2 linked regions of the Mus musculus genome follow. The protein of the gene in region 2 interacts with the protein of the main gene of each other region in a biochemical or structural test. Links are inferred from orthologs where the notes say so. Each region holds a gene or a part of one and is shown on either strand. Other genes may lie near its edges.

Region 1 (7,582 bases), on a different chromosome or scaffold from region 2:
TCCACCACTCCATGACTGTGGCAGGGATTTAGAAAAAGCACACAAAACAAAGGTATGAACCAACTCTGGAACGTGGGAAGGACCTACAGTTTGTACCGAGAGGCACTTGTTAGCTGACTTTACTGTGTGCCACCTTGACTCTACATTTGGGAAAGTGACTAACGTCAGCCCTGCTTTTCTCCTGATGTCCTCTGACAAACTACTACAAACTAGCTAGGGCACAGAATCCTAGCAGCAGTGAATTATAATTTGCTAGGCCACGCTGAGCACATACCTGTCTATCACTTGCGCCAGACATAGAAGAGGCTGCAGTATCTAGGATTCCCTGTTGCCACCTAAGGAAGGCATTGTCCTCCCTGAACTCAGATAAGGCTTCAAGAAGGCTGAAGTGCCCACTCAGAGCTACACAGCTAGCACCTGGAAGGCTGGATTTGAACTCAGTGCTTAGTACTGCACTATAGCCTTTTTGAAAACTGTGTGTATTATTGTGTATGTACATGTACATAGTTGGGGACATGCTGTGACATGCAGAGGACGACTGTGGAGCTGGTTCTGACCTTCTACCCTTATGTGGGTTCTGAGGATTGAACACAGGTTGCAAGGCCTGCATAATAGCAAATGTCTTCACCCCCTGAGCCATCTTGTCAGCCCAACATAGCTCTTTACAGAAGCTGGGAACCAGGACATTGAATGTCTAGATGGAGACTGGACAGAGTTGGATTCCTAGACACCTAACAGAAGCGAAAGCAGGGGATGGATAAGGTGGGTGCCTCGTCCTACAGCAGGTTCTGAGTGTCCGCAGAGACTCCCATGGCTTGGCACCATGGTAGAAGCTTTCTATCGATCGGTTAAGTCACTCACTGGCTCTTCACAGCAGCTGGAGCTGAGCGCCTTCGGAGTCTACTGCATGTAGATATTCTCACTCCAATCACACAGCCCGAAGAGCTCATGCTCACCCTGCCTCTAACTGGGGTCCATAGCTGCTCTCACCACCTCGCGGAATGGCTCTCCTGCTAGCGTCTTCTGTCCCCAGCACACATGTACTCAGGGCTAAAAGAGGTCTTATTCAGTTCTGTCCCCCAGTTTCTCCCGAAAAACCTGAAATGCTGAAACTTTCAAGTACAGGAACATCCAAAGAATGCAGACACCCAGAACCAGGCTCAAGAGGGCAGAGAGCACTGCAGCCTGGGACCTCTGCGTCTAAATCCCAGCCTGGCTTCCAAGGGGTCTGATTCAGACCTGGAAAAAAGCACCTTCTCCTTCAGGCTGCAATTTCTAATTTTGCTTCAACAAAAAGAAATAAAATGCTATATAAAGCCACAAGCCCAAAGCTGGGCACAGAGTAGTTAGTCGCAAACAGAAGCCACAATGGCTCAGTGCCTTGGTTGCCTTACCTGTGACCTGGGCATAACATTCCTACCTCACTGTTAGGTCTCTATAAAGTAGACAGAACGATAGGTACACAACTATAATATTTGAAACTTACATGAAGCCATCCATGTGCAAAAGGCCTATCATATCCCTAGCATGATAGGACTACTAAATAGCACATACTACCCACTATCACTTGAAATGGTGCAGCCCTGTGACTCGGTTTCCTCAACTAAAAAGGACAGCATGACAACAGAGTCTGCTACTCTAGACCGCAAGGCATCCTCCACAGTGTGTGGCACACTGAATGCTCTGAGTGAAGGTCAGCTATCAATTTCACGGTCATTACTTTTATAGCGCCTGTTAACTCTATCAGGCAAACCTTCTGAAAGCTCCTTGGAGAGGTCGAGAAGCCCATCCCTGGTGGAGAAAACCCTAGAGGACACCCACTGCCTGCACCTTCTCTCTGGGAACCACGCCGCACTGAGGCCGGCAAGCACGGACACCAACGCTGTAGATCAATGGCTACTGTCTGTTCCCTTGACCATATCACCAGACTTGTCAGCTAGGTCAATCAGGGCCTGCAGCCAATCCTCCAGGAAATTTAGACCTAGGACAAAGGTTACAGGGCAAGCCAAGATCACAAGCTAGCCTAAGGAGCAAGGACACTGGCCACACACTTCTGGGGTTCCCTGCTTAGGGACCACAGTAAGAAACTAGGTCTGTGAGGAACCTAAAGCAGTCCCAAACACTATTACGTAGCCTTTCTCCCTAGGTCAGACCAAGCTGGATAAAGTACACTCCCCTCCAAGTACCCTTGGCCTCTGCAGAGCGAACAGCTGGGAAAACAGCACTCAACCTCACCAAGAGGCCAACTGTTATCACTCAACTAGTAGGAGCGTAAACAGGACTCTAGATTGAGCTGGTAACAGGGAGGCACAAGCAGCCACGTGGCCAGGGCTGGAGAAACGTGGGCCCCTTCACATCCATATCCACGACACCAGGCAGTACCTGAACTCTCACCTGCATCTCTGAGGAGGGAATAGTAAACAGGCTAAAAATCAGCCTGACCTGAACCTATGGTTTTCTAGCAGGGGGAGGCCTGTCACCAGGTGCCAAAAGTTCTCCAAATGAGAGAAACAGGGGCCCCAAATTCTGAGAATAAAGATGCCCCCCCCCCACTTCGCTCTAGAGAGCTGTCCCTTAAAACACACCTTCCGCCCAAAAGGTGACAGGCAGGTCCAGAGGCACTTCTCCTTATCCAAGCCCGATAGCCCCTCCCTTTCCTAGTAGGGAGCCAGACTAGAGATCAGAAAACTTCAGTGACTTCTAAAACACATCTCCACCCCCGGAAGCAAAGAACTTGCCAAAGGATGTCCCACACACCTTAAAGAGAAATAATCTGAGAGGGTTCTGGAGTGGTGAGTGGACAACCCCATGATAAAAAGCAGCCCAGTAACGATCCCGTTTTCCCCAAAGTCATAAAGAAGTTCAAGAAAGGGTGAGCTGAGTGTAAACGCCCACCCCTGCATATTACAGGAAGAGAAAAGCGCTCCTCGCCCACTCAGTATCACACCCCTAAAAGTACGCCCCTTAACACTCACTCGGGCCTCCCAGCACCCTGTGCCTCAAAGATGATAAACATCACAGCCCTCCACCCGACCCTGTTCTCCTCTAAGTACAAAGACTGCTCTCTCGTGTCTAGGTGGTACTACCCTGACTGCCCCAACACGGCCACCCTGGGCCCAGACCCCTCTCCAGAAGCTCCCATCCCTCTAAGTGCACTATAGGAACGGCTCCCAAAGCACCCAAGCGGCACTTGACACGGTGAGCGCCTCAAAAGCTGGACAGGCTGGCACCACAGAGAAGGAGCTGTCTCCCCCGATGTCCCCGAGGGCAGCCCCCAGCCCGCACACTCAGAGAGAGCTCCCCCCGCCGCCGCAGTGGTATGGACCACGGCACCCGCCCCGCGTCCCTCTGGGTTTGTCCCCCCCAGCCCCGCAGCAGGCGCCCCCACTCCGTTCCGGAAGAGGGGGGGAGCCTCCAGGTCCGTGGTCCCCGCCAGGCGGGCACGGGTGGTACGGCCCAGCGAGGCCCCACGGGGGGCCAGGACGCGACCATCGCGGAGGGGAGGGCGCTTGGGGACACGCGCTGGCGTACTCACCTGTCACCGGCGGCCGCCCAGCCTCTCCGGCCGGGCTCTACCCCCGCCCATCGCCACGCTGAGCTCGTTCCCGCTCCTTATTTATGAACTGGCGGCAGCAACGGCGGCAGTGCTGGCGGCGGCGACGCCTTCTCGGAGTCAGGCCCAACGGCTCGCGCAGCGCGGGCCCCCCCGCCCCCTCCCCCCAGCCCCCAGCCCCCACTCACAGCCCCCTCCCACCCGCTGGCCGGAAATACCGCCTTTTCCAGCCACAAACAGGAACTGACGTAGTAGACCAAGGGAATGGCCTCAGAAAACATCAGACCGCAAGCGCAGGAACTAGGAGGCAGGCAGGCTCAAGGCAGCGCGCCTGCGTACTTTAGGCACCCGTCACGTTAACTTTTTATTTATTTATTTTTTTTAAGAGCCCCGTTCTGAGCTGGGGGGGCGGAGGGGGGGGTAGCATTACACATGCGCAGTAGGACACCAACAAGTAGGCTTTCCCCGAAGGCCCAGTGATTACTTCCCGGCAATCAAAGGGCTTTATTTACATATGCTTTGATCTTGTTTTATTCTTCTCTTTCCTGCCTTCCTAGTTCCTAGACCAGCGGTTCTTCACTTGGGAACCTCTCACAGGGGTTGCCTAAGATCATCGGAAAATTCAGATATTTACATTATGATTCATAAGAATAGCAAAATTAGTTATGAAGTGACAACGAAAATAATTTTATGTTTGGGGGATCACCACATGAGGAACTGTATTAAAGAGTCACATTAGGTAGACTGAGAAACACTGTCCTAGACTTTCTTTTTTTCTTTCTTTTTTTTTTTTTTTTTTTTTTTAACTTAATGTATGAGTGCTCTGATCTGCAGGCCAGAAGAGGGCATCAGATCCCCTTATAGATGGTAGTGAGCCACCATGTGATTGCTGGGACTTGAACTCAGGACCTCTGGAAGAGCAGTTAGTGTTCTTAACCGCTGAGCCATCTTACCAGCCTGACTTTTTTTTTTTTTTTGGTTTTTCGAGACAGGGTTTCTGTGTATAGCCCTGGCTGTCCTGAAACTCGCCCTGTAGACCAAGCTGTCTTGAACTCAGAGATCTGCCTGCTTCTGCCTTCTGAGCAATAGGATTAAAGGCCTGGCCTGCCACTGCCAGGCTCCTAGATGCTTACTTATAGAGACCCAAAACAAGTTAGTTAAGATCAAGCACAAAGCAGGGTATGGCAACAGGTCTGTTACTGCATCATTCTGGATGTTGGGGCAGGCCAGCTAGACCTTGTCTCAAAAAAAAAAAAAGATGTTGCACTCAAGCTTTGAGCCACATAACCCCACATTAGAATATCCTCTTCTGTAACTATGGGCTGACTTCTGTATCCACATCTCAAGAATCCACATCTTCAAAACACAAATAACCTTGGATTATCTTACGAAAACAGTTCTTATTAAACTGTGACTTCAAAATATTAATGTCACTTGCACATGATATATATCTAAATAAATGTGGGACTTATAATTTCTCATATGGAGTAACTTGAGCCCATGTAAGACTTAAAACCACAGAAAATCGCTCACAGAAAAAAAGGTATATAGGTTGCACGGCTGTAACCCACCTCTGCAGACCCTGAAACAAGAGGACTAAGAATTCCATGCCAGATTGGGATTCATAGTAAGACCTTGAAATTTCAAGGTTTCCCTTAATTATTGGGGATGGAGTAGATGCAAGTGAGGAGCCAGAGAGGAGAGCATCAGACTGGAGCTACAGCTTCTGACCACTGTAGTCAGCGCCATGGGGAGCTCCCAGCCAGACTCAAGTCCTTGCAAAAGCTGGAGGCTTTTTTTTTTTTTTTTTTTTTTTTTTGGTTTTTCGAGACAGGGTTTCTCGAGACAGGGTTTCTCCATGTAGCCCTGGCTGTCCTGGAACTCACTCTGTAGACCAGGCTGGCCTCGAACTCAGAAATCCGCCTGCCTCTGCCTCTGCCTCCAGAGTGCTGGGATTAAAGGCGTGCGCCACCACGCCCGGCTTGCTGGAGGCTTTTTTATTAGTATTTTATTTCAACATTAATGGGTGGCTGGGGGGCTTAGCAGTTAAGAACAACCCCTGATCCCCAGAGAACTGAACTTCAGCTCTCAGATCCCACATACCTTTTTTTTTTTTTCGTTTGTTTGTTTTTCTGTAAGCAGAGGGAAATGTTTTCGTTTTGGGAAAAAGCCATGTAGCCTTGAGCTCATAAAAATCCTCCTATGCCAGCCTAGGCAAGTGCTGGGATTACAGAGATGCCACTTTACCCAGGTCATATGAGGGGCTCACAGGTGCCTCAGCGGGTGTACATACCTGTTTGCCAAGCCTAATAACCTAAATGTAATCCCTTGGGACTAATATGGTGGAAGGAGAACAGACACCCTCCAATTGTTCTCTGACCTCACATGTACACCACGGCACACAAACACACTATAAAGTGCAGTAAATCTTTAATCCCAACACTCGGGAGGCAGGGGCAGGCGGATCCCTGGGAGCTCCAGCCAAGCCAGGGCTACACTGAGATCCTGCCACAAGTTAAGAACACTTATTACTCTTTTTTTAATTTATTGTTTTATTTATTTATTTTAAAGATTTATTATATTTATATGAGTACACTGTAGCTGTCTTCAGACACACCAAAGGAGGGCATCAGATCTCATTACGGATGGTTGTGAGCCACCATGTGGTTGCTGGGATTTGAACTCAGGACCTCTGGAAGAGCAGTCGGTGCTCTTAACCGCTGAGCCATCTCACCAGCCCCCACTTATTACTCTTGAAGATAACCTTGGTTCTATTTCCAACACCCACATACCAGTTTACAACTCTCTTCTGATCTTTGAGAGCACCAACCGTGCACATGGTACACACACACACAGACAAAACACTTAAACTAAGAGACCCCAGATTCTTTTTAAGAGATAAAATGGTTCTTCCTATAAGCATTCTGAGGTGACCTATGAAGATGGCTTGCTACTCTACTGACCCAGAAACTCCTACAAAATCATGCAAATAAACAAGTTCAAATCTTCATGTTCAGTTTAAGAACACTGGTGAAACTGCCAGGCCATCAAGGGTAGGCATATGTGGGAAGTCACCAAGTGTCTGAAGGATGTCACTTTAAAGAAGCAATGTCCTATAATGGTGGAGTGTAGGTATTCCCAGGCCAACCAATGGGGCTACACAGGGTCAGTGGCCAAAACAGACTGCTGAATGTTTGCAGCACATGCTTAGCAATGCGGAGAGTAACCCTGAACTTAGGGGTTTAGACGTAGATTCTCTAGTCATTGAACACATCCAGGTGAACAAGGCACCTAAGATGCGCCGACGAACCTACAGAGCTCATGGCTGGATTAACCCACACATGAGCTCCCCCTGCCACAGTGAGATGATCCTCACTGAGAAGGAACAATCGTTCCAAAGCCAGAAGAGGAAGTCGCACAGAAATAAAAAGCTATCCCAGGCGAAACAAAAATGTACCACATGGGAATAAATTCAGCATAAAAAAAATGCAGATAAAAGTAAAAATTAATTTAAAAATGTAAAATAGTTGAAAATCAAGTGTATCTTATTCTGTAGAACTGGCTGACTTGGAACTCAGTAAGTAGATCAGACTGGCCTTGAACTCAGTGGTCTGCTTACGTCTGTCTCCCAAGTGGTGGGACTAAAGGTGCACTACCATGCCCCATCTGGCAGCTAACTCGACAGTCCTCCTACCTTAGCAACTCAAGTAAGTGCTGCACCACTGCACTCAGTTCCTAAAAACCAGAAACAAAATGAACAAGAACTATATAGTGAGTTCCAGGGTAGCTAGCACTACACAGCGAACTCTTCTCAAGAAGAGTCCTATTGATTGCTGTTACAAACTCTGCCCCTCCCCCTAAAAAGAGTCAACTACTTAACCAGTAAGGAAATGTATTAGTATGTATTAGTTATATTTATGCTCTTGCCACAAGATGGCACCATATATATGAGCTGGTCATTCTTTTTTTTTTTAATTATAAAAGGCAAGATTTCTTTCTTTTTTTTTTTTTTTTTTTTGGTTTTTCAAG
Region 2 (6,900 bases):
AAGTCAATAGAGAAATATATTTTTAAACGAGAATGTACGTGGACCTTTGATCTTGTGGGAGATTAAAATCCTGGTGAGCTGAGAGACAGCGTTCCCACGCCACACTATGTATTTGGTTGTGGGCCTGCTACACCCACGCTTAGAAATCAAACACTTGCTAAGTTATTTTAGGAACCCGGAGGGATCAAGCTCAGCAAGTGTTACACACTGTCTTAGGAGATCCAGAACTCATTGAAGAGTTTAAGTTTCTTGGGGAATAAAGTTAGTTTGAGAGAAAAAGAAATCATCACCATCAAGCCAAGCCTCATAGAAGGCACCCTCAGACGGAGATTCATCTGGAGTGTTACCAACTAGAAATCAAGTCCAACGTGTCCGTGCTGAAGAGGGCAGGAGTCCTGGGTTCCCTGGCGCTGGAGGTACAGGCAGCTGTGGTCTGGCCTGAATTCAGGTTCTCCACAAGAATGGTGCAGGCTCTTAAACAGCTGAGCCGCCTCTCCACCTCCAAGAGGTTCTTATTCATTTTAAGGCGCAAATTCTTCAAAGATTGATTAAAAAAAAAAGGGCCTAGAAGGGTTGAACATCAATTTTTAATAATGAAACCTTTCATCCAGTCCTCAAAATTACCATAAAAGGCATGAGAAATTGTCGACTTCTCATCCCCACCACGGTGTGACAAGCCCTTGTTACAACATCCATCTACTGTCTCCAAAAAGCCCAATACAAAACCCACACATTATATCACCTAGTGATCTACCAACAGATGAGAGTTTAACCAGCGTTATACCAGGAAGCTATTACCACGGATACTTCAATCACATAGCTGAAAATATGGAGAAAAGACAGGTAAAAAAAGAAATCATCTTAACTTGTAGTAGTCTTTTTGCTTTTTTAAAATTTCTATAAAATACACTAATATCCCAAAATAAAGAATATTATGACACATTGGTGTCGACTCACACAGATGAAAGCTGATGTCAGCTTTTTTCTAACTAAAGTTCATTTCACCAAACCTTTATATATTACATGAATATCCAAGTAAAGTATTTCTTTAAAAAAAAAATTCAACACAAAGGAACATAATATACAGTGTTTTTATATATATATAAAAAAAAATCAATTAACAGGAATGATTCCACTTCTAGCCACATTACGTATCTCTTTAAGACAATGGGATCTCTTGCCATTCTGTGACTCTTCAGTTCATGTCAATATTTCCCAGCTACTTTTATCTTAAAGTTAAAAAAAAACAAAAAAAAAAAAAAACAAAAGGAAAAGTTGGTTGTAAGACTTCCTTACTCTCTTACCCAGAAGAGAACCGTAGAACAAGGTCATTCACTACCAGGCTGTCTTCCCTCTATCTGCTCTCAGGACTAGCCAGACCCACAGCTGGGGTGGAATTGGAAGAGAGCATCAAAGGATGGATATAAAAAGATGGGCTCAGCCAGACCCTACCACAATTGTAAGGTGTGGGCACAGCCACTCCCAGCAAGCCTTGCCGAACAGTCCCAGGAGCGAGTGGTCTCCCAGAGCTCGCCCTTCACATCCGTCCGCTGGGAGGACACATGTGGATAAGCATTTTAACTACTGGTGTGCTGGCTAACGTGTGCCTTCACCCGAGAGGGAGCAAACATACTTAAGACATCTCGGTCAGTAGTGGTGGTGGTGGTGGGGGCAGGGGCAGGGGCAGGGAAGAGATCGCTGTGTATGTTAAACCTCCTGTTATCGGTCAGTTCTGAGTGAAAATTGCTATGAAATACACACACCATGCACAGTCCACACCACTGTGGGAATCCGGTATCACATGCAAGATGGCGGAGAAATCACGATGGATGAGTGGAAACGTTCACAGTGTTTTCTTACAGCCTTTTGACTTTAACACGAGTGCATCTCTTACCACCACTGTCTCACAAACTTTTACTGTGTCTTGGGGCATGCGGATCACTTGGGGATAGAATGGGAACTACGGTTCAAAGCCACTCACACACAGAGACTACCACTTTCTCTCACTTCCCACGGCGCTGCTGCTTGTGCTAGCAGACAAACGCGTATTTCCAGTCAATGGTTGTGCTTTAGTTTGCGTCTTTCTTTACCCACTTCGTTTCAGGAAAATGAAAAACCCACAAAAAAGAAATCCAGGATTAGGTCTTCAGGTTGATTTCTGATCAAAGCAGACAGATGGGGACCTACTAACTCCTCTACCTGGAGTCTGCCGGCTCCCCTCCCCAGGTCCTTCCCGGTACTGATTCAGCTGTCTGTTTGGAAAACTGGCATTTTTGTCTAAACGGAGCCAAATATAACGGCAGGGAGGAGGGCAGCAAGCAGGGGAGGGGGAGATGCAGTCTATGTCAAAAAGAATCTCTTGCTCTCAACAGACAGGAGAGAACCCAGCTTCTCCTTAACCATCATTTCATAAATTAATATTTTCTAAAAACCATAACCCAAAGAATTTGCTATTACAAGAAAGTTCAAGTTTTAAAAAAGCAAATAAATTAGTTAAGCCTTGTAAACAATTGTCCATTTTAGTTATACATCTTAAAAAAAAAAAGACATTTATCTGTAAAGTCCATTAGACATTACAAGGCACACTTTACACATCAGAACCCAGAGAGACGGAACCCACACAGGTGTGTCCTCCTTCCCTCTGCCCCTGGGGTAACCAGGCCGGGGCTCTGGAGTCAGGTGCCCATCTTCTGCTCGGTTCTTGAAGATCTGGAAGTCCACAGATGTGCTCTTTCTATGAAACTGCTTTGTGCTCTTTAGTCACACGTGGTGTGATGATAAGCTTTCTCCGTGTCCCGTCTTCTCAGATGTTTTCCACAAAGCTCCCTGGGAAAAGGCCAGTCTTCCCATTCCTCTGTAACGTGCCTTTGAACCAGCCGTCCTCTCGTTTCTTATGAACAAACACAATATCTCCTTCCTTGAGTTCAAGTTCGGCCTCACTCTGAGGAGGGTAGGAAACCACCACCCTGTGCCTGTGCGAGAGAAGCAGACTCTTCAGGTCAGCAATAAAAACGGTGCACCGTCACTTCACAGCGTGCCTCGGCACCGATAGAACTCACACAGCCATTCACAAGGCTTTGCGCAACTCAAAATCCAGCAATTCTCTTTAGCCAAGCCTGAGCTGGGTATTCATCTTCATCCACTAACGAGGGCCAAACTGGTGTTTGTGAGTGACCTCCACAGGGAGAGACATTTTTGTCTGCCTTCAGTATTTGTATTTTAGCTATACCTAAGGATATGTGTTGTGTGGATTCTTAATAGGGAAACCATTCCTGTCCTACCCTCTACTCCAGGAAGAGACAAGTAGATTTGATTTCTGAGACCAGGACAAACAGCTGAGCAAGCCAAGACTTCTTGCAGGCAGTGTACTGAGCTGGGCGAGGTGAGGTGTCAGGTCTGCTGCCTGGGGCAGATCTGGAGGACTGTCTTCGGTATCCCTTACTCTGGGTTTGATATTCAGGAGGCAGTGCCTGCCTGCCTTTACATAGGCAAGTCTTGCATTGGGAAGAGGTCCCAAGGTCTACACAGAAATGAGAGAACTGTGGGCTCAATTCTGCCCACCACGGCCAGCAATGATGCTGACACTCCAATCTCCTTGTGTCTTATCTATTCGCTTGCCCTTAGTTCTCAAGGCAGATGTGAGTGGGAAGAAGCGTAGCTAGTACCTAACTGCCCAGCAGCCTTGTGGATTACCATCACTTAACCCCGTGCCCCTATGCCTTGGTCTCTAAGGCAGGGTTATGATTAGCAGCTAAGGAAGTCAGGCAGGGGTGACTTATTTTGGGTCTCCCGACCCAGTCTTTTCTCTACTGGATATTATCTCTCTCTTTCCTCTGCCTTGCTCTTTCCAATCAAAGCGGTGGTTGTTGTTGGTGTTTGGTAGCCATCTTCTAGCTATCCCTGCCTCTGCTAGTCTCATACATGCACAGTTTTCTTCTACAATGCCCCGTGTGATAAAGAAATAGTACAAAAGTGACTGTGACTTCTGAGGCCAGGTGACTGAGGACGGGGACAATCAGTTGGCATGGGTGAGGCCACTGGACACTCCTAATCAGGCACCATGTGAGGGTCTAAAGTGTCTTCCCCAAACTAGTCAACAATAATGTGAAGGAGCTGCGTTAAAACCAGGCCTGCTAGCATCTGTATAGCCTGGTTCTCTCTTGAATCCCCATTCCATAAAAACCCAGAACCCACCACATTATTGAGGACCACAGCAAGTGGGCTCACTTTTCACAAAAGCTAAGTAGCTGTCCAACAATTACTCTGCTCTCTAGGGCATGGGTACCAATCTACCCTCCCAGGTCTGCAGCAAAAGCATAGCGCTGGGTCCGTTTATCCTTTCCAAGAAAGGTTCAGCCAACTCAGACATGAGTTTACAGATAAGGTCGTCAAATGCAGAGCAGGAAGGAGTGGAGAGGCACTGTGGGTGAAGGGGAACTGACACAGTCTTATGGTCACTCAGAGCACCTTAACTTTGAGCCAGCTAACACTGCCTCAGTCTCCTCCCCTGGAGAATGGGACTTCAATGAGTTAGACAATCTATTTTATAAGTAGCACAATGAGGTCAAAAGAGTGGCATTCTTGGTACAGCGACACGTACAGTTCAACCCCAGAATGTGAGCCACTTCAAGCATAGGGCTTCCTTGAGCATGCTGGGGTCTGGTACTTCAGGGAGGGGAATTTTAAGAAGCGGGCTAGTCCCTAACTAACAGATGAACTCAGGCCACAAGCTAAAGAACGTCCTGACACTGGGAGTTCCCACACTTTAGAATGACATAGAGTTTTGGAACCCTTTCACTGACAACTTTAAAAGCAAACTAACAACTTCATCGTGCAGTGATCTAAAAGAAGAACCCAGATGTGATTTCTCAGGTCTGATGCCAACAGGCCAAAAGTCCACATAAAACACAATGATGTAGTTGCCATTAGGGGCGAGTTAACATTTAAGCAAAGCTGTGCAGTTCTGGGGGGAAATATACCACTGACGGAAAGCATATTCTGTGTAGATCTCTCACGAGATGCGTTGCTGACTGGCAGCCTGTAAGCCGCTTTAAGGTAAAATGGAACAAGACAAGTTTAAAAACTTTAAGGGAATTAGATTAATATTTGCATTTTATAAAAACGCACTAAACCAATTTTGTCCGAAAATTCAGCACTGGAGTGGCTGCTGGGCTAAGAACATAATCTTCCCGCCAAGTTACCAGTGGGAACAAATTTTCATTGCTAAGTTATAGACCTCGAGGGGGAGTGGAGTGGTGGAGTGAGAAGCCATGTGCAGAATGGAAACTGTGACATGCTGTGCGTCATGTGAGGACTGCCAGGTGTCGGCACCGAGGAACTCCACTTAGAGGCCTTCCAGCTCGGGCCCTGGCCTTGAGCCTCACGGAGCGGTTTGTACTGAGACTTTGTCACATAGCTCCAAATGCTGGCAGGACAGCCCAGCGAACTCAGGCACGCAAAAGCCCTGCCAAGCAGAGTCTTTACAGACATCCACAAGCAGATGTCATACGCAGCTGCAAAGGCCCTCACACCTGCCGCCCAGCCCTCTGCCTTACTGGCTCATGCTCGCCCTTGTGTGAATCGGGTTCCCGGGCACTTCTGAACGTCTTGAACTTGAGCTACATTCTGCACCTTCTGTGGCACCTGCTGAGCCACCTCCAAAAGCTGCACCCCCATTGGTCTCCTTCGCTGTCATCTGGCTGACGGGCTAACTATGCCCCACCCCCTTCTTGTATTATACTTCCTCCAGTCCCCAATCCATTCCATGCACAACTCAAATATTTATATTAAGTCATGCCACCTGTAGGTACCCATTGTGAAAAACCATTAGCGGGCTCTCAGTGTCTGTAAGGTTAATCCTCACACTGCTACACAAAGCCCTCAATGATCTGGCCATAATCCTGCTTTATAGCTATAGCAGCCATCGTCATCGCAAACACCCCACCCCCACCCCACCCCACCCCAAGAAGCCTGCCCATGTCTCTTCAAACATAGCCCCACTTCTCCTCCTCCTCCACATATTGGCTCCTGCAGCTCCTTGCATGGGGAATCTCTCTCACAATATCGCTGCTCATCCACGCCCTATCAATCTCTCAAGACCTGGCTCAAAATCTCCCCTGGGAAACCTCTAGCCCCATAGCTGGAAGTAATTTTACGCTTGACTGACCCGCAGAGGGCCGTGTGTGTGTTTCTCACGGCACTTAGCACGGTCCATACTGTATTTTTACCATCTGTGTTGCTGTCTCGTTTATTTTCGACTCGTGGATAATGTTGAATTAACTCTCTCCGCCTCATGTGACCAAAGGCAGAACATAAGATGATTCTTATTAAGCACATTGAATGAGTGAGACCTAACCACTCAGTAAGCATTTTTTAAAATGTGTAATGTTCTTAAAAAAAAAAAAAGTCACTGAAATTCTAATACATGCTACAACATGGAGGGATCCGGAAAGCATCATGCTAAGAGAAAAAAGTCAGACGAAGAAGGAAAGGTGCTCTAGGACTCCACTGATATGAAACCACTGTGTAGAGAAAGGAGAACAGACTTCAGGGGCCACAGAAATGGGAAGAAAGCAGCTGTGAATGATGTGGTCTTCCTGTACAGAAGATGCAGAAGACATTCTAGAGACGGACACTGACACACGATCAATGTAAAGGCACCCAGAGCCAGTGGACTGTACCTTTGAATAGGGGTGAGTTTTAACTAGATTTTAGTCTTCCTTCCATTGAAAAGAGATTGCATTCTCACATGATATATCCTGACTCTAGTTCCCCTCCTCTACTGTCCCGGCTCCTTCCCTCGACACCTCTCATTCCCACCCATCCCACTTCTGCCTCTCGTTAGAAAAGGCTTCTAAGGGATCCTGATACAACACAGCAAAATAAAACAGTGAGAGGAAA

What was found.
Region 1: the proteins of Sh3rf1 (region 2) and Akt2 form a complex in vitro, tested with the Homo sapiens proteins (2 studies listed by BioGRID and IntAct, with this or other methods). The link is inferred for Mus musculus from reciprocal best matches to the Homo sapiens genes SH3RF1 and AKT2.

What each region holds. Positions count from the first base shown.
Region 1 is NC_000073.6:27,587,833-27,595,414, reverse strand, and holds the start of Akt2 (RAC-beta serine/threonine-protein kinase), read right to left. Parts: upstream 3,864-7,582; 5' UTR 3,536-3,863; intron 3,270-3,535; exon of another isoform or gene 2,758-3,269; intron 2,658-2,757; exon of another isoform or gene 2,586-2,657; intron 1-2,585. UniProt on the Homo sapiens protein: Serine/threonine kinase closely related to AKT1 and AKT3. All 3 enzymes, AKT1, AKT2 and AKT3, are collectively known as AKT kinase.
Region 2 is NC_000074.6:61,389,741-61,396,640, reverse strand, and holds the end of Sh3rf1 (E3 ubiquitin-protein ligase SH3RF1), read right to left. Parts: intron 2,973-6,900; coding exon 2,804-2,972; 3' UTR 569-2,803; downstream 1-568. UniProt on the Homo sapiens protein: Has E3 ubiquitin-protein ligase activity. In the absence of an external substrate, it can catalyze self-ubiquitination. Stimulates ubiquitination of potassium channel KCNJ1, enhancing it's dynamin-dependent and clathrin-independent endocytosis.